3 linked regions of the Styela clava genome follow. The protein of the gene in region 2 interacts with the protein of the main gene of each other region in a biochemical or structural test. Links are inferred from orthologs where the notes say so. Each region holds a gene or a part of one and is shown on either strand. Other genes may lie near its edges. The genes, in order: SWI/SNF-related matrix-associated actin-dependent regulator of chromatin subfamily D member 1-like, SWI/SNF complex subunit SMARCC2-like and SWI/SNF-related matrix-associated actin-dependent regulator of chromatin subfamily A member 2-like.

What was found.
Region 1: the proteins of SWI/SNF complex subunit SMARCC2-like (region 2) and SWI/SNF-related matrix-associated actin-dependent regulator of chromatin subfamily D member 1-like form a complex in vitro, tested with the Drosophila melanogaster proteins (2 studies listed by BioGRID, with this or other methods). The link is inferred for Styela clava from reciprocal best matches to the Drosophila melanogaster genes mor and Bap60.
Region 3: the proteins of SWI/SNF complex subunit SMARCC2-like (region 2) and SWI/SNF-related matrix-associated actin-dependent regulator of chromatin subfamily A member 2-like form a complex in vitro, tested with the Drosophila melanogaster proteins (2 studies listed by BioGRID, with this or other methods). The link is inferred for Styela clava from reciprocal best matches to the Drosophila melanogaster genes mor and brm.

The regions. Positions count from the first base shown.
Region 1 is NC_135250.1:7,867,774-7,876,204, reverse strand, and holds the start of SWI/SNF-related matrix-associated actin-dependent regulator of chromatin subfamily D member 1-like, read right to left. Parts: upstream 3,533-8,431; 5' UTR 3,232-3,532; coding exon 3,035-3,231; intron 2,442-3,034; coding exon 2,354-2,441; intron 2,188-2,353; coding exon 2,011-2,187; intron 1,943-2,010; coding exon 1,742-1,942; intron 1,384-1,741; coding exon 1,210-1,383; intron 996-1,209; coding exon 804-995; intron 1-803. Other genes in the region: uncharacterized protein LOC120338837, read left to right, coding at 4,173-4,309, 4,601-4,711, 4,828-4,909, 5,240-5,381, 6,646-6,817, 7,179-7,277, 7,713-7,860, 8,049-8,168 and 1 more. UniProt on the Drosophila melanogaster protein: Involved in the recruitment and site-specific anchoring of the Brahma complex at specific promoter sites.
Region 2 is NC_135263.1:4,352,676-4,360,547, reverse strand, and holds the start of SWI/SNF complex subunit SMARCC2-like, read right to left. Parts: upstream 3,435-7,872; 5' UTR 3,388-3,434; coding exon 3,268-3,387; intron 1,596-3,267; coding exon 1,457-1,595; intron 419-1,456; coding exon 239-418; intron 1-238. Other genes in the region: uncharacterized protein LOC120340372, read left to right, coding at 7,049-7,100, 7,676-7,771.
Region 3 is NC_135250.1:17,719,900-17,728,311, forward strand, and holds the start of SWI/SNF-related matrix-associated actin-dependent regulator of chromatin subfamily A member 2-like, read right to left. Parts: upstream 3,164-8,412; 5' UTR 2,452-3,163; exon of another isoform or gene 2,369-2,451; 5' UTR 2,317-2,368; coding exon 2,139-2,316; intron 1,821-2,138; coding exon 1,704-1,820; intron 50-1,703; coding exon 1-49. UniProt on the Drosophila melanogaster protein: Transcriptional regulator. Acts as a coactivator, assisting one or more dedicated transcriptional activators of ANTC and BXC homeotic gene clusters. Can counteract the repressive effect of Polycomb protein.

The sequences.
Region 1 (8,431 bases), on a different chromosome or scaffold from region 2:
TTCGTACTACCATCCTTGGTCATAATAGTTATTTTCGGACTATTTTACGTTTATGTTCATGTTTTGTGAAGTATTCCGCACTAACTAAATCATTTTGAGCATCCAACTATGATCCGTGCTTGATCTGTCAACATTTTGTTTTTTTGTAAATTTTTTATTTTACTACTAAGTGAATTTTATTTGTGTAGGTATTTCAAAGCTTAGAGATACACGAAAGTATTTGTCATTACTTCAAAAATAAGTCATTTGAACGAGCGGGAAACAATTTCGCGCACATAATAAACAAACAAAGATTCCAGACAACTATTGTGGACATGCTCTCACATATCATTGATTATTTCGCGTTTCGCTTCGCTTGCGAAGCTGAGTCCGGTTTTTCTTCAAAGGTGACGTAACTCTCTTTCAGAAGAGCGCTTGGAATTTCGTTTCTTTGTAACACGTGTTCATCGAAGCGATAAGAGTGTGAAACGTTCTCTCAAAAATTTTTGAAATTTCTCTCTTCTTACACGCGTAGGGTCGAACGGTTTCGCCTACGTCACTTGGGCGCGTTTTAGTAGGAAGACGCGAAAATAAGCTTTTTAAAGAGATATTGGGGGTGTTCCTTGTACGTTTGGTTAACTGGTCATTACATATTATAAAATGGTACATAAAGTCGATTGTATACAGCGGAAAAAAAGGGTTAAGAAATATACGCAGTAAAACAGTTTTTGGTACTTTTTTCTATGAATAAATACAGACTTGATAACTATAATCCAAAAATATATATTGCATAAAACTTATTAAAATGTTTATCATAAAATTACCTCAATATCATAGCAAGACTGTTTCTTTGCATCTGCTGGATCAACACTAATAACATGATGAATAACGATTGGGTCTGGTGGATGAAGTAACGGTCCAAGTAGCCGTGGAATGTCAGCAAAACGAATACGACGTTCTCCTAATATAGGTCCAAGATATCCATCACAATTGATGAATTCTCTCTCATGCTCATCCTAAATTAAATATAAAAAAGATTATTATTTAGAAATTGTGATGTCCTAATTAATCCTATATAGTAGCATTAAATTCAAACATTCTCCTGTGGCAGATAAATTTCATGATGAAATGCGGACTAAAGTCTTAAAAAAGTAATACAAAGTCATTCACTGAAATGGCCATATTGCTCCATCAGCTTGATAAAAAATGGTAAATAAAATCATAGAATACCTGCAGTTTATGAGACTTGATATATTGCCACAAAGCCTGAATTATAACAGGTCGTGTCTGTGTATGGATCCCAAGCAATCTAGCTAATCTTCCATCTAATTTGTATTGTGGTGGCAAGTAGTTGAGCATAAATAGCATTGTACAACGAACATTTTTATCCCCAGGCCTTTTGACCTGATAACAAAGCAATATTGTAAGTGACAGCACACATCATTAACAGTGCATACCATGGTTTATTAAAACGAAACTACACTTTTATAAGCATGTAATTCGACAGGGATACTAGTTAATACCACAATTTTCAAAATCTGCCATCTTTCAATTTTGATATATTTTTATACCATTAAATTCAAGACAGTCTGAGTAACTTTTGAAATATTAACAAATTTTGATACTCTGGAGTGGTTATGAAAATTCTTGGACATATTTGAAAATGCGATGCCATCTCAATTATGCCTAATGAATCAATCACTCAACCACATCCTCACTTTTGATATAATGATTTGTTCATATACCTAATGATAACCTATACCTGAAATCCATCTGTTTCTTGTGTTGCATTAGTGCGATGCCATTCTACCAAATGATTATCTGGTCCATATAAATCTTTGTCTAGCTCAATGACGAGACTTTTAAAAAAAGATGAGAATTTACGCTTGTGTTTGGAAGCTTCATGTTGCTTTGCAAGTGGATCATCTAACAGCCTACCCTCTACTCTCAGTTCCCATGAGGCCTAGATGAAAAAATGATAATTATACAATTATAAGAAGCACAATACAATCATTGCAATCAATTTCATACCTTTCCTGCATCATCTTTTCCATCCACTTCTTTAGGTGGATAGAACTGATTTGAGATAAAAACTCTCAATTTTCTTTTGACTTTGACTGGACGTTTGAGTGCTTCTTGAATATCGAGTCTTTTTCTTGTAATTGTTTGGTCAAGCTTGCGTTCGAAAGCCAGAAGATCCATATATGCCTGAAAATTGAAAGTTTGATAAAATATTGAAATAATATGTTGATGTTGATATACTTGAGAAATAATGAATTAGAAATTATTTTTCATCAAAGCAATTAAGTAATAAAAGAGGAATTTCATCGATATGAATACAAGGCTTTTAATATTTCTGTATTTCATGAAATACCTGAGAATCAGGAACTAACTTTCGAACAGCATCAGGTAATATCTTGTCTGAAAGAAGTCGGCGTTTCACAACAGGAGGTTGTCGAGATCTGAAACATAAAACGAACATTGTTAAATCAGTACGGCACACTATACAGATCGACCGACATTGTCTCGTTTCAGAGAAATCCATATTGCAGATGATTAGACGCCCCTCCTTTGGGGGAATGTCTGGACATGATCCCTCAAGACCGATAAAACTACAATAAATTGAAGTTGCGCAAAAAAGTACAAAGCGCAATCTAAAAATGTCATCATTGGATTCCTTGAGAAAAAATAATTAGATTTACGGAAGGTAAAAATTTTCTACCATGGCATAAGAGAGTTTTGAACAAAAAACAGCAATTTTGGTCACATGACGGCTGCAATTAATTTAGATTATTATCGAGACAAGCATGTCGCGATATGACGCATCTGCCGTTGTGCCAGACGACCCTCGTTTGTGAAACACGCAAAGTGTTTGTTGTATTGAACCAAATGAAGGACATTCTTGGAATTTGAAGAGTGTGCCGTACCGTACTGTAAATACGATAAGTAAATTCCAAAGAAAAAATCACATCAGACAACCCAATCATGTCTGAAATGACCAGCCAGACAACCAAAATCATGTCTGACTGTCTGAAATGACCTAAACATTATTCACCTGTCTGGAGCACCAGGTGTGCTTGCTGGACTTCCTGCATGAACACCAGGACGTTTCCTCAAATGTTCAGCACGCATGGGCCCACTGGCATGTTGATGTCCAGGTGCCGGGTAAGGAGATGAAGAGCCGCCTGGTCTCGACCTCATGAAGGGACCTTGAGGTTGGTAAGGGCTTCGAACACTTCCATGTTGGTTCATCGTCGAGTTTGCGGCAGAGAACCGCTTCTTCAGTTCACAAAGCACCTGCACACTGCCCAACCTAACACGAAAATATAACTAAGTGAGCAAGCAACAAGGATCGGTAACACTATAACAGCGTAAAGCTGAGGAAAGAAACGGAAATGGAAGAAAACCAAGTTGCCGTGTTCCCATCAATTTTTTTTTTCTAATTGAAGGTGGAGTGGTTAAGATATATAGATAGATAGTTTATTTCGAAAACTCCATAACAAACATAAATTAAAAATGAGGAATTCTTGAGGGCAAGCAAAACCTATAAAAAAGTTTAAAACATGAGAAGTACCGTATCTCACGTGCCTGCCCACCAGCACGCACACAAAAACACAAGCCCAATTAAATGAGACTTGCGCCAAACTTGACAAACGAAATACACGATAGTATTAAACTTTCGGGCTGTTGTACGTTCAACAATTACGTTGATAATGACCAATACCTACAACCTCATGCAAAGATAAGGTGAGGAGTGGAATGTAATAAATTTACGACGATAGTCATACTCATGAAGCCATGAAAGCTTTAAGAAAAATCAAGCCCCGAAAAACTATACTGATTGCTAGATTGGGCATTGCGCAAAAGGTGATAAGAGGTTTAATCGTAAATATATACTGTTTAATATACGAACAAACGTTCGCCATCCCCAATCTGCTACCTTTCGACCGTATTTTGCCATCCCCAATATGACTTTTATGCTACCACCACTATAGAGGGTCTGTATTGACGGACCGCTAGCGGGAACGTTTAAAATCATTTCGTTTGTACAGTTCCCGAGTTCAAAACACTGAAGTGAATGCTGTTGTCTGGTTGCGCTGTTGAGTTTTAACTTTCATTTCGGTTTTCGGGACTCTGGGTTTTTGTTTATATCATTGGGATTTTGGTGTTACTGTGCAGAATCGTGTACTGAAATGTCGTTTCACAAGGGAAGACAGAAAAAAGAATCAAAATCGTTGAATCTTCGTGTGGTAAGGGAAAAGCAGAAATTATGGTTTCAAAACCTGATTATTTTAAAATTTCCTTGCACCTCAATGGCTGAAAAGTACAAGTGAGTGTTCCAATTTATTTATACGCTTTTCGGAGTCATATTTAGAAATTAGGATTTGAAAATAAAGCACTGAAATGTCTGAGTACGGTAGTTATATTGTTATACAACAACTATTTTACAATTTATTAACCTGGTAACTGCAAATTCATAAATTTGTGATGGCAAAGTACGGTATCGATAGTCTATGCTGCCTATCGGCAAACCAGAAATTAGAGTCTCGTACGGTAATTATAATGCAGCATTATTGAAGATATATATCCTGAAATTATAGAACCTAAACTTTATTTTTAGAATGACATTTCATTGTGGAATGTTTGATAAACCTAACAAAGCTGGATTTGAAATTATTTGTCATTTTTTGTTTACAAAACTTGACAAAGCGAAGTCAACTGAACTTTTCAGGTAGATCTTTGCTAAATTTTTTGTATTTTTTGCTATGTCTGGTGTATATCATCATGGTATTGTTGTTTCGTTGCGATGCATTATAGACTTTGTAATATTTAGAGTTTTTGTTTTAGACTATGTTACCCTGTATCAGATAAAAAAGCATGTCAGCAATTTCGAACAGTTTGTCTGAACTGGTGGAAAAGATTATCGGAGGTTGGTAAAACGTGTTTGAAGACTTTTTGTACCATGAGATCTGGAGATAGGCAATTTGAGTTATGAGTTTGATTTTCAGTCACCCTGGGGTGTTGTTTAAAAATAATACACTGCAATTATTAGTCGTGCAGACTTAACTTTATTTAAGCCCAAATAACTATAAATCCATATGTATAAGTAATTTTATTGTTATTTTTGTGCAATTTCCAAGGTGACTGAAACTCATAAAGCTGATCGTCTTATGTCACCTATATATCTTACATATTTCCATGGAATTTTGTAAAAAATTTCATTTTCATTCATTATTTCTATTTTATCCTTTATTTACAGGAACACCCAAGGTTCAATTTTCCACGAGTTACCAACACGTTACTTATGAGCCCGACCGGTGCTGAAGTTTATAAAATTTTATTTTATTTTTCCAACTTCGTCCTTTTCATGGAATCAAGGAGACTTGATCGTTCTGTCAATGGTATGTTTTGTGGGTATGTAACAAGTTAATCTAAGGAATCAGTAATAGTCCTGCTTCTCGGGTATTTTGATATGACACTTATTTCACACTGTTTGCTCTAATTTCTTGATTAGACCAAGTATGTTCTTCTAAATAATATACCTACAAAACTAATGTAAATACTACATACCTGTATTATCTAAATTTAATAAGTAATACCTATTTAATTCCAATACCCAATTCCAGTTCACAGAGCACTAGGGATGGGCCAGGATTCGGATCCGGACTCTGATTCGAGTCGAATCCAGGCATTTTTTTACCAAGTCTATAATCAATTCTGTTTTTACTAATTTATGCCTATATTTGTACTTTTGCCACTTCTAATAAAGATGACGACAGATATCCAGATTATATAACACAAGGTAAAAACTATTGATCGCTTATGTTATAACAATGATGTTGCGCCAGTCGCCTTCAAACTATCAATTCTTTTTGGTATATATGTGGACCTGTGGTTTGCAAAAATTATGTGTTAGCGTAAAAGTTTGGAGTTTTTGATTCGCGTAAAAATGAAACATGCTTTGGATCAACCCAATGGGAAATCTCATCAATTCCTCTTTTAAATAGAGTTTATTACTTGCAGTTTATTACGTGTAATCTTTTCTCTAAAAAGGGAGCAATGGAAAGCATGGAGAGTTTTAGAACGTTTACAGGAACAATTGAGTTACAAGCAGATTTACAACATTGCATTGACTAAGAGTGGCATTTCTCTACCATTTGCGCACGTGACATAGTAAATTTACGGCTAGAAATATCTGTAACTATGGAAAAGTATTGTAGTCAAAAGCTTTTCATTTTTCATATTGCCATGTGAGAATTTCTGAATAGCCGCCCAGAATTGACGCGAAGTGGTTGGCTGGAAATCCAGTTCACAGCCAACGCGCACATTGACCCACGTTTACGTTTGTATCATGGCCGCCAAAAAAGAGGAATAATATATTTTAAAAATGATTCAACAGCTATCTGCGGAACCATTATGCAAAAAATATGAGCTATGACGCGTGTTTGTGAGCGCACGGTGCTGTAGCATGGCCAAAAACGTGTTTTTCTGCTTCTATATTGTGACGTCACGGACTCGGAGGATTCGAGTCTTGACCTATTACTCGGATTCATCGAATCTTTGTAATGCCGGACTCGTCCCATCTCTAGAGAACACTGGACAAGTTTATGTTATCACGTTTTCTCTGTATTGGGGGCTTCTGAATATTATCCCTATATTTTATAGGAAAAGGGCAAGAAAGCACAATTTTACCTCCAGATATGAAACAAACAATTGAAGGATTGAATCTCGCTCGAGTGATTGCTTTGAAAAACGCTGCTCATAGTGAAAGTGTAAAGATGATGCACACTATGCAAATTTCAAAACAATCTGATTTGGAGGCAAATAAACTTGCAAGGTAATTCTTACATGACATTGGATTAATGATTGAGCATCTTATCTGAAAATGATATACTCAAAAAGATTAGTTTAAACATGGCACATAAAATATCTGATGTAACCATATTAAAAGCAAAACTATGTATTTTTATAGAAGTCTCCCACAATGTTGAGTCTTGAAAAATCATGAAAGTTTGAGAACCAATGAACCATGTAACACATTTTCTGTTTTCTTAAAAGTTCAGCCCACTTTTTCTCCATAATAGTGAATTGCAATGCAACCTCAGATTTCCAACTTGTCATCATATGCACATCGTGACCAAACCCAACAAGATATTTGATTAACTATTATTTACTAACATATATTTTTCTGGTTACAGTTCCATGCTTGATGAATACAGAGATAATGTTAAATTGAAGAAACATTTAGAGCAAAAGAAAAAAGAATTACTTAGCAAATTGCATATACCAGCAGAAAGGTTGATTTTTCTTTTTAAATTTGATTATAACTTGGATCATTTTAGTTAAATAACCTCGTATAAGAGGTAATTTTCCCAATATTTCGGATGTATTCATTATTCGGCAGAAGATAGCACAGTCGTCCAGGTGCATCCTTAGGATATGTGCAGTGGCCTAATGATTTAAGTTTTAGACATAACTGGGATGGCATTATATTTTATAAACTCTGGTTCAAATTCCACCACCTCACCCATGGTTTTAGTGATTCCAGTTCTTCGAAAATAAAGTAGCTCCTTACGTTTTGGTGGCTGGTTGTATAGAGCCTTGTTTGGCGGATAGGTGTTTGATTACGCCGTTTTCTCATATTTCCTTTTGTTAGATTCTCTGCTCATTCAAAATCGTCAGTTTTGAACTTATTTTCTCAGTGTTGAAGTCTCATCTTTTAATTTTTCCAGACTTTCTGCGAAAGGAACTCCCTCCAGAAGTCATTCCGTACCTCAAACACCAGAAAAATTTTTACTTTCAAGAACTAACAATTCTGAAGCAACTGTGAGAAAATTATGGAAGAATTTGTTAACGGCTGTTGAGAATACACATGATGAGGTAGCTATCTTTCCATTTTATTGACAACCATATTTTTACTTCTATTTTCTAATTTGTAGTCAAATTAAATGTGTTTTATATGTTTTTTTTTGGTTGTTTTAACTAAATATGCCTTTCCAGGTTGTAAAAAGTATAACAAAGAGTTTCTCGTTTTTTTTATACGGTTTGATATTCGTGTTAATATTTAGAGAGAAATTGTGCAATCAATATTAAATATGAATGGGGACACTAAAGGATTGAATGCGGCAGAACTTGCTCCTAAAGTGCCTGCAATATTGCTGCAGCAATGTACCAACAAAGTTTATAAGGTAATTGTATGTCAAGTTCATATACCGTATGTGTTTTGTTGCATAATCACTGCACCCTACTCGAAATTTTGAAACAATTGCTGGAACGAAAGACATGAATAGACGATAGACATTGTGTAAAAAACAAGTCATTTCTTCCAGTGTTAAATTCGAATCTATCACTATATATTCACTATGTTATATACTGGAATATTGAATTATTTTTACATGATTATCGAAATCTTGCATTATATTCATATTGTTATTTTTTTTCCAGAGTGTGG
Region 2 (7,872 bases):
TAGCGAAACCGTATGTCCCATCACTAATTAATTAATAACTCGCTAATTATACGACATAATTAATCCGGAATCAATAGGCTTCTGATCCGAGATATGATGAATGCACATGCAAAATTTGGAGCAGATTCAACTCCGCTTCCGCGAGATATCGCGTAACATACGAAATTGTCTAACAGACAGACAACCAAACATATCTATCAACATACTTACCGATCAAGATCAATAAGTACTAATTCACCTTCTGTTAAATATATCACGGGGCGAGTAAGACAACCATTCTGTACCAATGCTTTTTCAATCAGCATAAACATTTCAACGTTCCTGTCCATACGAGATGGATTTTGGAAATCGAATCGCCGCAATCCTTGGTCTATCTTATACTTCATTATTGTTCCCAGAATATGGCACAGTCCTCCACCTAATCAAGAAGAATTATGAAGTTAAAAATAGATATGAATAATAATTTTTAAGCGTGTTTCACACACCCTTGGCATATCAAGGAGCCAGGCAGCATCTGAGAATAACGCAGGAGTGGGAAAGGTTTTTGGAACAAAGGAACTACAACAACAACATTTATAGTGTCACAAAAGCATAAGATGAAAACAATCAGCCTTGTGCCAAAACTAAATTTAATCGCAATCTCAACAAACTCATTGAGCTATGTTTTAGCTAGAACATCAAAATATGATTTTAGTTTGGTTGTGGCAGCATAAGATGTGGGCCAGATTGATTTGGCCCACAGGCCGTGGTTTGCCAAAGTCAAGTCTAAAGAGTACACCACAATACTGAAGACTGTTTGCTTAAACGAATGCCCGAGATACCATTGATCAAGTAGAAGAAACTTTGGTTAGGTGCAACTAGGACAGAGATGGGCTACATGAGGCCCACTAAAGCATTTTGTGTACCCCCACTCTATGAAATTCCTTACATTATTTGGTTTGAGAATTGAAAAATCACTCATATTGCTTATTACCAAACTGCAAATTACGTAGTTTTCTATAAAAATAACATGCGGAAAATACACAGGTCACTTAGACCAACAGAATCGGCTTTTTTTCACTCTCAAGTAAGACCAGTGGTCGGCAACCTTTTTTCAGTGACGGACCGGTAAAATCTGACCAAAATTTTGGCGGACCACCTTTATACAAATTACAGACGAACTGATGTAATTTAATAAATTATATGCGCTAGAAAAGTTACGTTGACAATACATTCAAAAACAAAGGTATAACGTGTTTCTTACGTTCGTCCTACTTCAATATTTCGTTTTTGTAGTTGTCAATTTTGAAAACCTGACTTTACATACTGGTAACAACGCTATTAGGGCATTGTACGTTTTTTGTGTCACCTTTCTGCGGACCGGCAATGGGCCGCGGCCCGGTGGTTGCCGACCACTGACTTAGACCAACAGAACAGGCTTTCACCCTCAAGTAATCTCAAACATATTCAGTTTTACCAGGTTTGAGGTCTTGGAAACATTTGATTGGAATTTTTGTTAATGCAGGTGATTTTGCATTTTTCCCAAAAGCATCTTCTTGAAATTGCAATAATTGAAGACATAGGTTTGAAAGGTATTTGTTAGTGAAGGACTCAACCTGTATAAGTAGAAAAAAAGTTTAGGATGGTTCATGCGACCATCAAGTCCATGCATTCGAAAACAAATAACGGGCTCACTAATCCAATAGCCTGATAGGTAACTGTAGAAGAGGCTGTGGCTCGTCATAGAATCAAGCTGTATTATTGGCTTTTCTGAATATGTAAATCTTATCCTATTAGATTATCTGGCTTGACTTTTTAGTCTGTGATATTTTTCAGGACAGTCAGTGCATATGAATCCAATAACAAGGCAGGTAGATAGGGTAAGATTTTTCATATTCAATAGAGCTTGACTTGACAAAGTACAGCTATGAATACCCGAAATGGCATCGGCGCCGGCGATAACGAACTCACTAGCGTCAGTGATCTCTCTCATATCGGGATCAGTGGACCAAGGAAACGAAAGAAATATCTTTCTCGATTTCGGGTGATCGTCTGCGCATAACTTCTGGATGACGTAGTCATGTTGGAGTTAGGAATGAGATATTCAAAAATTGTTGAGTCATGCCAACTAGAAATACGTGCCAGTAGCAGTGAGTATTCAGTGAATAAAATAAAATTTTACTCATTCCTGGGGTCTCCTGAAGTACGCGCCCTCAAGTACTTCTAGTAGGCGTAGCATAACGATTTCAATGATATAATATTCTTAACCCCCACTTGGGTACGTCACCCAAAAATGACATCACTATGACGTCATAATAGCGCCATAGAGCTTGCTAAAGTATAGCTACGAGCCTACGATCGTCTGAAATTGCATCTGTGCCGACTATAATGAACCCACTAACGTCAGCGATCTCTCTCTAATCGGTATCGTTTCGATGAGAAAACAGGGGGGGAGAGGGGCCATGCCCCTCGAGAATTTCATTCTCAATTCACCAGTTTTGTGGCAATCTTGTCTCGTCGCGCTTGCTGCTTGTCATTGTTACGTCACAAAGACTTGACCATTTGCTGTTATGAGCAGTTTGGGAAAGACTGTTTCGTTAGCTTTCGGTCAGTTACTCGGTCTTGATTTGTTCTCGCCGGTTTTTTATTCGAAACGCTTGGATTTTGATGACCAAATTACTTCGATGGCTAAATTTAAACAGGTGAAATGCAATTTGTTTCTTTCAGCAAAATAAAGAGTCGCTTTCCTCAAAAACATCAATAAGCGCTACTCAGGCAGTGGATGCACCGGTTACGTCAGTTACGTCTATCACTTCTATTCCCGAAGATAAACTAATATTCAAAGAGGGGAAATCAAACGATCTTGGATATATTCTTAAGAAACATACGCAGCTTACCGATACGGAGAGATACAGGCTTCTAACTTCAGATAGTCCGAAAAACGTGACGATTCTGGATACCGCTAGACAAAGTTGTCGTAAATTTCTCAAAAAATGGCTTGACGATGACAGATTTTGCAGTTGGTTAGTTTGAACCCAACTCTCTGATGGGGGTGGATTTTGTATTCACAAAAAGCCATCTGAGTTGTTGAATCAGTTTGCTTATTCACAAACTGTTGTTGTTTCGCGCTTGAAGAAGGGGTGCTTAAACCCAATATAATTTCTAAAATTTTCAAATTTTAAGGCTGGCTACGCCACTGGGTGCGGTGGCTTATTTATATCAGAAAATAACGAGAAGTGTAGAATACAACAAACAAACAAGTGGTACACAATACAGCACAAAACTTACTTGTGAATATTTCTTCATGAATTTATTCAACCAGTTTCTAATTGGTTCGAACATCTGGATTGTATCCTGAGAATCATAATATTTTGTATTTGGACATCCATCCTTCTTTTTTGAAGACATTCCGGTGGAAATTGCACCAGTAGGCTACTAGTACAGTAGTAGTATACGGTCTGTTTAACAAAAGAGAAAAATAATACCATTGAGATTGCAGGAAACATAAAAACCTAATTCAGTAATCAGATATTTCTAATGTCTGAATGTTGGAAGGGACTGCTGTGCCGGTATCTAATCTTCTTGTACCTGATTCCTCATTTTTATTTATTTTGTTTTCGTCATTTATTTTGCCGTATGTTAAGATTACCGGTACCGGTACGGTATGAAATCGAATTGAAATAAGCCTAACTTATACTGTTATACTCAATTGCTATTCTGTAATTGCCAATTATTTGAAGATAAACTTTTCTGAATTTCTGTTCCATATACTTGTCTTGTGTATTTCAATCAACTTGTGCCATTACGAATTCAAAATAAATTATCCCATCTTATCTAGTTTACTGTAAACATAGGATCGCAAGAATACAGAAAGAGGCTCGAACTGAACGGAAAATACCGGGTTCCGCGAGATGACGCTAACGTGCAAAGCAGAGTGGTGGACGGAGTCAAGTATTTTTGAATATAACAAAATCAATTTTAAAATGGAAACGTATTAGCAAAAATGAACTTCCCAGATTCCATTTATTGACTTTTTCTTCATAACATATACTGAGCAATACGTTAACGGGGATAATAATAAAAGGTTTGGCCATACACATATATATACGAGTATATCATACAACTTGGCGATCATTCGATTTCCGAGGAAAATGGGTCCGTAAGATTTGAATATGTCAGACTAAAATCGGAAACCAGTACTTGTAATGGCAGTTGCTATAATATTTACCCTAAAGTGGATAACATACGAAATGTTTAGCCACGGTTTCTCACCCCATACAACCCTATGTCGGGAATATGAATAGTTATTTGATATCGTTTTAAAGACATTGTGGCGGAGAGAGCCATAACTACCGAGTGGCTAAGTCAATAACTATACAGCGGTGAGATCAGAACGGGCGAACTCGCGTAGGACAGTTAGAGGTGCAATGACAGAAGATATTAGCACAATGTGGAGAAAACATTTGCATGGCCATTTTGTGAATCTGATGCTATTGTGAATCATAAAAAAGACTTTTATCGCGATACATGACGAGAAATTTTAAACATTTGAATTGGAAAATCAGTATTTGATTTCTTCACCATTCTGAATATACGAACTATACATACAGATATTGAAGGAAGTATAGAAAATAATCACATTTCAGGGTGAAAGGAGACGCCGAAAATCGATCCTGATCATCGAGCGGCGGCACTCTTGGGAAAGTCTAACAGAACGTGAACGTGAAAACGGTTATGTAACTACTTCTACTGTAACCGCACTTCACAACTGAATATTCGCTCGTATTAAAAAATTTCCGACGTCGTAAAAGGATTATTGGACACGTTTAGTGGCCATAACGATCGTTTCAAAATTTTGTTGTTATTGTTATTTTCTTTCGTCATTATCATTAAAAAATCGCTTTTCTCTTCGAATACTGGACCAATTGCTTTGAAATTTTCAGTGGTTAAAGATAAAATTTTTCTCCAGAAGGCTATTACTTTTTTTTCGCTATGACGTCATCAAAATTATTGCCATTGTGTGGCGCTACGTGTCCATATATTTGAGCATAGCTCTCTTGTTTCTTCTGTTGTTTGAAAGGAAATGTAATAAACTTCAAACAAGTCATTATCGTACTTGCTTGGCATTTTGGTAGTAACGGAATCTTTCTGGTTCTACCTTCCCAATTTATCACACCCTGGATGAGGGAGTGGCAGAGCTGGATTTAGACAAACAGAAGCCTTGGCTATGCTATTTCTGGGCTCCTTTATAACAATGACGTCGCTACTATACACGTGATCTTTGTTTATTTTGGGATTGTTATGAGAATTAGGTTCAGTTAACCCTGTTGCAGTGTGCTACACTTTGTTTATATTCTGTCATTATTACATTATCGTTCTTTGTGTTGTGATCACTGATTATCGTCAAGCGACAACGGCCTGCATCTGCCTTACTGCATTAGTTACGTGCCGTTACGAGTATTAGACGGTAGTCCGATTAAGTTTGGCTATACTTAGTGACTCAATGTAATTATGTTGTATGTTCTTGTGTTTAGGTTAAGATGCGTTTTTAGTTTCCTAAAGCCATACTTTTGGTTATTATAAATAAACTGTCATAACATGGATATTTAATACAAAAATTTAATACCAAGTGTTTATTTATTTGTTTTTACCAAACATTTTATTGTTATGCTGATTATGAAGTCGAAATAAACTTATACTTATATATATATACTTAAATGCGACTAGCTTCCTGTAAAGCAGAACTTTTAAATTTACAGTCTTCATAAGTGAAGCGTTCGTGAAATGTGATACTTGGAAAAGAACTTGGTACTTCCCCCTTATTGTACCCGGGTACTTGAAAATGAGAAAACAAAATTCTCGGCTCTATTTTGAGGAACAAAGAATGATATTGCATAGGTAGAAACAGGCTGTAATTGACAGATATAGGCAAATTTTTAGTCGATTTACCCAGATCAAAGAGCCAGTTCCAATACAATAAAATGAAGGAATTTTTTTATATCGTTGTTTTGTGTTTCATTTCTTATTCTAACCGGTAGGTATTGATACTTTGGTTTATCGATAGTTCTATCTATGTTCTTTTTTAATTGACCGATAATGCGGGCCGGCGTTTTGTTATTAATATTATTATTATATTATTACTTTACATATATTTCAAAGTTAGAATAATAGCACGTTTTGTCGGTAATTTTTTTAAAAGGCTAGCAATATGAATTTTAGGAGAATGGCGCTATTGAAATAGGAGTTGATTAGATCGTTTTTAACTACAATTATTTTCATCTATGCATATGTAAACAAATAACTGGCTAACTAATCCCCTACTCAACATGGACTTGTAACCGGGCGAGACGCCGTGGTTTTTAATATGATTAAGCCGTTCTATCGGCTTTCCTCTCCCCCCGGAATAAACATGTATATCCTATTTTTGCGTAGAAATAAGCTCAGCGCTAACTCAGATATAAAAAATGCTCGAGGGTGAAGTTAAGAAGCCCTTTGGGAGGTAAAAGGGATCTTTAGTACAAATCCCCGCCAACGCTCAAAATAAGAAAATTAGTAATTATCTAGTAAGGGTTGGGAGTGCAGATTACGAGGAAATTTCATATCATATCTAACCCTAAATACTAATTTGTCATGTCAAAACGCGGCGGTGGTGTTAAATCTCACATTTTTGCATTAGTGACAGGACTTTGTACAAAAGATCTGTTCGAAATTATAGCAAGTATTAAAGAGAGCATATCGCCGCACTAAAACCAAAATTGCTTCTGTCACATTTTTCAATAACGGGTATTTCAAACTCCTGTCAGTCGTAGACCTGACAGTGTCATCTTTCGGACTTGGTTATCTCCCGTGGCGTGTAATTCAAAAGCATATCACTAACTGTATTGATGAGCATCAAAAATGCAAAAAGTAATTGAAGTACCAGTATTGCTGTTTGTGAAAATTTGACAATGATAAGTTTCTAATCAGTTTATGGTCAGAATATATTGTTCACGATTTTATTGCAAGAGCGTCTTTTCCGTGTTATTCAACAAGCGCGTTCTGCCACAAGGATTTATTAGCTCAACATATCATGCCACCTAAATGGCATTTGATGATGGAGTCGGTTTTACTGAACGTCCGAAGTACGCTATATATGTCTTGTAGTAAAGCGACCGTGAGACTATTTCGATTCGTTGAACCACTGGGGCGCAACGAGGTTAAATAATAGCTTATTACGTCAAACATCACGATGCGGTTAATTTTACACGGGTAAAGGTTTAGGTGTTTCTCAGAAATTTCCATCCCGAATAGTATCACAAGTACTTCTAGTGCAATGGTTTTCAAACTTTTCAAGCCGCGCCCCTTTTTTAGAATTTATCATGTCTAGCAGCCCACCTCAAAAATAACTATCTAACAATAAGATACAAATAACAGACAGTAACGTGAAAATAAGTTTTATTTAAAAATATGTGTGAATAATGACGAAATGTAAACGATAAAGAAACATAAAAATTGGAATAAGGAGGACAAAATCAAATCTAACAAATATTCATATTTTTAATCAATTTCACGTCCTCAAAAAAAATTTGTCTACGCCCCACCGTCTGAGAAGCACTATTCTAGTGGGAAGTCGACTGGTAACCGGACGTTAGACCGTGGTATGCCATCTCCCGCGAGATAAATATAAAAATCCTATCTTATCCAATTTTTTTTTTAGATGCAATTTCTGGCGAAGAAATCAGTGACGTAGATCATCCTAAATTCAGGTCGAAGTCGGTTCAAACAACGACAACGGGTCTTACCACAAGAAAAGGTAAGAGTCAAGATTATTGTTGTTGAGTAATACAATTATCCTATTTTACAGAGTAAAAGGTCACTTTAATCCCATTTTTTTTAAATCGATCATGCGATTAG
Region 3 (8,412 bases), on a different chromosome or scaffold from region 2:
CCATATTGTGCAGGAGGTTGACCTGCAGAAGGATGAGGTTGCTGCATCCCTGTATTATATAAAAGTAACAGTTATGAAAGGATTCACAAGTGTTTTTGGGCCCAACCAATACATCAGCATTGGTTAATAGTACTGATAGCGAACAATCAATCATGAAATTGCTATCTATAAAAGTTTGCTGATGGTTTTCTTTAGAATATTTCTAGTGTTAACAGTTAAGTACAGGAAAATATGCTATTATTGAGTTGCATCTCAGCTGAAGCAAATAAAATAAAATAGTAAGTTCATTATTATTTTGTTGAACTCATTGAATCACTAAATCCAACAAAAGGATTTGTAAGTTCATTATTATTTTGTTGAACTCATTGAATCAATAAATCCAACAAAAGGATTTGTAAGTTCATTATTATTTTGTTGAACTCATTGAATCAATAAATCCAACAAAAGGATTTGTAAGTTCATTATTATTTTGTTGAACTCATTGAATCAATAAATCCAACAAAAGGATTTGTGTTAACAATCTTAAAGAAAAGAAGAACCAAAATTAACTTTACTAGACTTGCATTTTAAGAATCATATGAACAAAATTTAAACTATTTTTCCGAGAACAATTCACCTTCTTGTATCAAATACATGATTAACATTAAATACAGAAAGCAGTGCACAATATTAATCAATACTTTGTTGCAAATTGATATACTTTAGTGCAATCAAAATTTTAGTTCTGAGCACAATTTTTAAATACCGGTACATACTAATTGAATATGGGCATTTTCATTTTCAGTGTTGCACGAAATTGTAAAATGTTCTTTCTGTGCAATTTTGTTGCTACTTATAGCTTCTTTTTTACAAGTGGAATATGGGCTTTAAGTTAAGTGTAAGAAAACTATTAGCATTGACTAAAAAGTGGTTTTGGTGTGTGTTATTATGAGATATGAATTGTCACATTAATTTCATGTAGGGAAAGCCTTGATTGTATATATCAGGAATGGCGAACCTTTTTTAGTGAATGGGTCAAAATTTATATTTTATTGTGGAAAAGAAGACTATAGGTCATAGATATCTAAAAAGGTTTGCATCAATGAAAAGCTCGCTGTTATGTCTTTTCCACAAGTGTTATATTGTGGTATTGTGTTCGCATGCATATGAATTACCAAAAAGCATTTGCAATTCTATGTCAAATCTTTTTCATGGTTTCGAAAGAGTTTAGAAGAAATTTTCACTTTGAGAGGATTATATTTTCATCGGCTTCTAGCAAATTAAAGTCACTATCATCCTGCTTGAATATTATTTTGTTTCCCAACGGCATTGTGTGCTGAAGAATACTCTATTCTCAGAATTTTTTGTATCGCCTTGTTTTCTCTTTACTTTTGCTTCAAATAGGGACTGGGGCCATATAACCATCCCTGCATCTCATTGTTATGTCCTAAGCGTTGTCGCTGCATGTCACCAGTAGCTGCATCACAGTATACTATGGTTGTTCACTTATTGTTGGATTGAATCAAGGCTGGTTTTAATATCAATTTTTATAAATGAAATGTTGGTATATTTTTTTGCATCAATTCGTAACTTGGTGGGTCAATGGTTCACCATCCTTGGTATATATTATGATAAACTATGGTAAGCGGCAACGGTCAGTACTTTTTATATCAATTTAAATGAAAATTATTCAGCATTATAAAAATAATTCTAGCACTACATACCCATGCCTGGGTGATGTTGCTGTTGTCCCATCTGTGGGTTATACTGTGATTGGGGTTGTTGTGTTGGGTGAATAGTTTGACCAGGCGGAGCGGTACTGGGTGCAGAACCATAGCCCCCTGTTAAATCATAAAATAATAGAAGTCATTTACCGTGTGCATGATATATTACAATATTTGGAATTCTAACCAGTCACAAATCTTTTTAGATTCGAAAAGTCCATGTATATTAAATTCAGAGACAAACATAGCTTTGTTATGTTTTTTGTTTCATTCTGTTACCCCACTAACTGCAGAATATTGCAGCCATGACCTTTTAGAAGAGATATGGAAATACAGGTACCTGCAAAAGGGGCATTTCCAATATTCATCTTAATTCATATTCAATTGAAATTTCATCTTTCTGAATATCCAAATAGTAGAAATCTGTTTACCAACCTTGAGCTGGATAAGAATAGTTCGGAGGTTGGATCTGTGGATTCTGCTGCATTGGTTGACCCTGCATCGGGACTTGTTGGGTCGGCATTTGTTGCTGCTGTTGTTGGGGCGGCTGCGGCATCTGTCCTACAGGTGGAGGTGCACCTGGGCCAATTCCCCCAAGTGATTGTTGTTCCATGACCTTTAATAATCAAGTAGATCTTGTCTGCTAGTAAAGGCTAAGCTAAAACCTGAAAAACAAAGAAAGGAAATTTGCATAATCACACAACTGAACAAATACTAGAACTGAACAAATACTAGATAGACTGAATACCTAATAAGTTACTGTTTCCGAGACAAATACAGTGTTTGTATTATTGCACCAAATGTCAAGACATCTCGGAAGCACAGAACTGTGCCCTACTGACTGTACTGAAACAGAAAAGGCCAAAACTGTATACTTTAAATGTGAAAGAGAAAATATGTTCCAAAATAGAGCAAGTTCAACATAGAACACAATAAACAAAGAACCCTATGGACTTGGTATATCTGACAGTCTGAGGGTTAGGTCAGTGCTTTACCAACCATGAGACCATAGAGAAATTCCTTTCCCCGGGAAAGAATATTGCTGTTTTAACCCTAGGGTTTCGGCCCGGTCATAAATGGCTGATCTGTGTCATAATTTGGGTTTATGACTAAATTAAATTTATTTTGGGGGGTCAATAGTATTTCATAGTGGTCTGCATGTGAACAAAACCAATTTCAAAACTCAAAATGTTTGAGTTTAAATACCCATGCTTGATCCGAGTGTTCTTAATTACGGTGATGTCATCATATTTTTTTTATGTATAATTTTTATTTTGCAACAAGGTCAATTTTATTTGTATGAGTATTTCAAAGCTTAAAAATAACCAAATAATCTATGGTTAGTTGAAAACGAAGTATTTTGAACGCGCGAGCAACGTTCTTCGGCTCATAATAAACAAACAAAGATACCAGACAGCACGCGATCAAATGCTCTTCGATAAAACGAATATCACTTCACTTACAAATCCCAGTCTTGTTTTATCTTGAAAGTGACGTATAGCTCTTCTAAAAGAGAACTCTTTCTCTCGCATATCAATCACGTGTCGACCACAGCGTTAAAAGTGAGAAACTTTTTCTCGAAATTTTTTGAAATTTCTCTCTTCTTACTGGCATATGGTCGGACGCATTTACGCTACGTAATGTGGGCGCGTTTTAGTGGAAAGCGACGAAAATAAGCTTTTTAGGGACACATTAAAGATGTCTTTGGCATTTTTGGTTGGTGAAATATTAAAAAAATTATAGAAGGGTGTCAAAATGACCCAGGAACACCAGGGGTCATTAGGTTGGAGGAAATATAGAAATATTATTTTGTATAAAAAATTCCTATAATAAAAACATTTGAGAAATTTTAGGTGACAGTAAAAGCCCTGATAAAACATATTTTACAGTTGGCAAATTCAAACAACAAACTGATTTTACATAGTGATAAAAAAAACAGATGAAAAAACATTATACAGGTAAAAAGAAATGAGGGTGCAAATATATACGAGGAAAAAACATTATACAGGTAAAAAGAAATGAGGGTGCAAATATATATGATGAAAAAACATTATACAGCCACAGGTAAAAAGAAATGGGTGCAAATATATTAGGAATGACCACAATTTATTTACAGGGAAATCATATTGTGAGACAAATTATGCTTTCATGATAAAACTGACAAATTTTACAGAAAACATAGTTATGTCAAAAATACAATTTCTCAAAATAAACATTATTCAAACACATAAATGTTGATGAAACAAAACTCATGGGTCATTCCGTGATACCTGTAAAACTTTTAGGAATTGTCTAAGCACATATAAACAATAGAAAACATTCTTGATACATATAAAAGTTCACAAAGTTACCACATAGTCTTATTATTGAAAATCTTATCTTAATTAAAATACAAATCCACTAGCTTGTCGGCAAGTTCAGTGAACACCTGAGTCTCCTGAGATCATGTTGAATATCAGGTAAGATTGAGGTTAACTGATCATTTGTGACATGATATTGATATATTTCTTTGATTGATTTCCTCTGAAATAATATTTTTTCAAGTCTGCAATTGGTAGATCATGATTGGGCTCAAATGATCAGACCAGTAAATGCAACTTAGATACCCTTGATGCGCACCACAGCACGCCAGTTCTTGACCATCAAAGTTTGTCTCTTTGCATGAAGATTGGCATCTTCAAAAATATCAACCAATCGAGATTCTGCTGCTTCCTGTAATGCCATTATCGCTAAAGATTGCCAAAAAATGATATTTGGAGTTAATTTCATGCTGATTTCACGTACCAGTCTTGAAAAAGGCAATTTTCTTATAAGTAACTTTGTGCTCTTTTGATATTTTCTAACTTCATGTGATGTGTTTATACCAGGTATTCCCCTTTTTCGTGGTGTAGACTTTCTTCGCATTGATCCATGGGATGCATTTTGACGGTTAGATTGATGCAAAGACTTTCTCGTCATGCTTGAGTATATTATTAAATAAAGCAGAAATAATGAACGTAGTAGGCTATATGTCAGTCAGGGATAGCCAATTAGAATAAAGTATTCAAATATCTCGTCATTCCAATATCGGAATTAACGTATATAAGAATATCGGATTTTTGCGTAATGTCACACATTTGCGACGTCTTCATTGAATGAGGACTTATCGATAGAAACTTGCGCATCGCACAAACAATCAGCACATGCTCACTCTCTTTGCAAAAATCTAGGTCATACATGTTCTTTCGCTTTGCAAAATTTTTTTTCTCTTCATTCTCCGTCTCGATTTTATTTTCAGTCCTCGCATGCTTTCTCACAACAATCCAGTGCAATATATATTATTTCATTCCCTTTCCCAATTCAACGCCGCCTGCATGCTTTTCACTGTGCATGAACACAGCAGAATAACAATATGGTACACATAAATACTAGAGGCTTAAATATTAGCATTTGTATAAAGGCATAATGAATATTCGATTGTTGTGGCTTGCTTCAATTGCCTGTAGAGTGGCTTACCCACTTTGCGACCACGACATATTTGCGGCCATCAACTTCATCGATCTAATTAATGCCGAAAAAATTAACGAATCGCGACGATATTTCTGACCCGTTATCGTCCTCTTGTTCCTCATAGCTCTGCGAAATTACACTGAAATGCGGCCACAAACAAAAAAGTTACGACCGAAAACCCGACCGAAGAAAAAAACAGGACCATTTTTTCATGTCGCCAACTACCCCTTGTCCCATCAAAAGAACTTGAAAATCCATACAAATATAAGAGATAAAAAGATGAAACTTGGCAAGGGGGTAGAGTTGTGTTCCTTCTAACCGTCTTTCGCCTTTCTACATTTAAAGGAGGGGGAATAGGGGGGTGCGCATTTCCAATACGTCGATAATATCTTTGTCGGCCAATTTGCGACCACCATGTTTTTGTCTGTTTGATTGCTGTGATGCGGTGTTTTGAATATAATTTGACGAGTTTTGTTCGAAAGGACAGTGTTCTTAAAATATATGACGATCAGAAATGCAATTAGAAGAAGGCTAGAAGCCCAATTTTCCATGCATGGCTGCGTATGCTCTAGTCTCGAGGCAGCAGAAACAATGTTCAAGGCTTGAAATTCGTGGTCGCACACTGGTCGTTCGGTCGCAAATACGTCTTCCGAGTGTCGTACTTTGGGTGGTTTGTATAGCTTTAACCCCTGGTCGTAGAAAGGTTATTCGAGGTTTAGCGTGTAGAATAAATGCCAATGCGCCTACGGTGAAAAAATTAACGGGTTAGAAATATTGGTTTCTGTTTTATAGCGGTTTGAATGAAATCGTCCGCAGACTGGCTACACCACCCTATTGCCCATGAATTTTATTACTCTCAGAAAATATACAAAATTATCCGAATATAAATAGTACTTATGTCAATAGACTATTATCGCAATACCATGTCCATGGGGATGGTACTGTAACATTGACAGAATCGGTCACAGAATTGCTTGGCTATCTTTTCATGTGGCCGATTGTACAAAGTGTACAATTAAAATAAATTTACTGTGTCACAAGTTGCTATTATTTCTATTGAAAGCTGTAAACTATTTACAGTATTAAGTATTTTTTGCATGGTGTGATAAATTTTTCTCTGTCCCAAGCAGAATGTCATCATAGATCATCTATCCATCGCTATATAATGACAATACATCCCATTTAATTAAACAATTATTTTTTGCCTGTAATAAATAGTTCAGCGCATTCCCCTTCACCCAATCATTGAAACATCTAGCGTCTAGCCTACTCGCAGTTTTATTTTTTGTTTTTCAGGTTACTTCAAAGTGATTAAATGAAGTAAAACACATAAGGAAAAAATCAAACAAAGACATCGATACGGTATCCTGTGAAATAACAATCTTATTCCTATATCCTTGTCTGAAATCAATACCCAAGAATGAAAAACCTCACTTACTTTTTTTTTTTGCCAAATTCAAATCCATTGCCAAATCGGATTTATACAAATTATAGTTTTGGTGTATTCAAATATATCGACGCATGAAATCCAAATTGGGCTAAGTCCATTTTTCTAGTTTTGAGAAAAACGCAAAAAACGTTTTTTTTTTGTTTCTTTTTTTTATTTCTCTAATACCTTACATCGAGGATGTCTAGTTTTTATGGTCCACCAAAGTTACAATGAAGGCCATATTTAGATGGTATAAAAAAATTTGTGCTCCGCCCCAATTTTTTTTGGGGGGGTTTTTTTTGGACTTAACCCTTTTTGGCTCTCAATTTTCTTGACCAAAAACAATTTTATTGGACTTAGGGCCCCTTTATTATGTTATTATAGAGGCTGGTATGGACTTAGCGCTTTGTATTATATTTTTTGAGAGGAGCTATGTCCAAAAAATGGACTTAGCGCTTTGTATTATATTTTTTGAGAGGAGCTATGTCCAAAAAACGGACTTAGCCCCAACTTACAATGCAGTTATCCAGAGATAAGTCCACTATAGTAGACACAGCTCTGTTTAGTTCTCAAATGCCCTAAAAAAAGCAGGGTTATGTCCATAGCTGTCTTGAGATCTAGAGCACCTAGAGATAAGGCAAATAGACCAAAATGTAGAGCTAAGTCCAGGAAAATCAGCAATTGAAAAATGTCATTTTTTGGAAAAGTGGACTTAGCACTGTTTGGTTTTGAGGTGTCGATATATTTCAATATTATTGCATGAGGTCCGAATTTTATTTTTGTGATGTAATTTAGGTGATTTCATACAATGAAAGGTAAGACAAATATTAAATAATTCAGACCAGATACATTTACTATTTAATTCCATATGTCAGTATGTCCATTTGTGCATGAAGTTGAGACATTATTTTCCCATTATCATCAGTTATAATATATAATATAAATATTAATTAACCTATCATTAGCATTTTTATTTAAAAAAAAAAATTTTTTTGAAGAATTAGATAAATAATCAGAAAAACACCTATCATGCCATAGGTGATTTCTACATTTTCCATCTATGTAATCATTTTACACAAATTAGTAAATACGGTAATCTGTTACAATGAAATCTGTTACATATTGTCATGAGATGGCCAGTGGTTGCATTGGAAACTTGATATTATAGCATGATGGATTTATTTAAAACCTCATCAATGTGTTGATCTTGCATAATATCATTTCTGCATCCACTGTCCATCAAACCCATGCACCCCAATACCTTACATTTAAAAACTGCTCTCAAATTGCATTGCATCCCATAAATACCATCATATTTTATAGAGTTTCGATATTGCCAGATTGCTGACTTGCCACAAATCACAGTCAACAACACAGATTTGTTTTCAATGTTGTTGGCTATGATTTGGTCTGGATTAAGACGCCCTACATTGCACCAATCCCAAAAATTCTGTGCCCAATCACAATTAAAAAACGGATGAAAACACGTTTCCTCTACATTATCGCATAATACACATATGCCTGATTCGTCTCTGAACCAATATTTTAGTTTATCTGCGGTAGGCAGTCCATTATGTATGATTTTCCAGCTGAGTTCTTTATACTTATTGGGTATTTGTATTTGCCAAAATTTTGTCCATGGGATAGGTTGGGTAAGATGTAGTTTGTTTGCGACATATATATTATGATCATGAATTTGGTTATCCAATTGGTTTGATTTTAAGCGCTTATAAATATTTTTGGTTGTTAATTCTTCTGAAACCATATAACGATCAATTTCTGTTCTTGCCG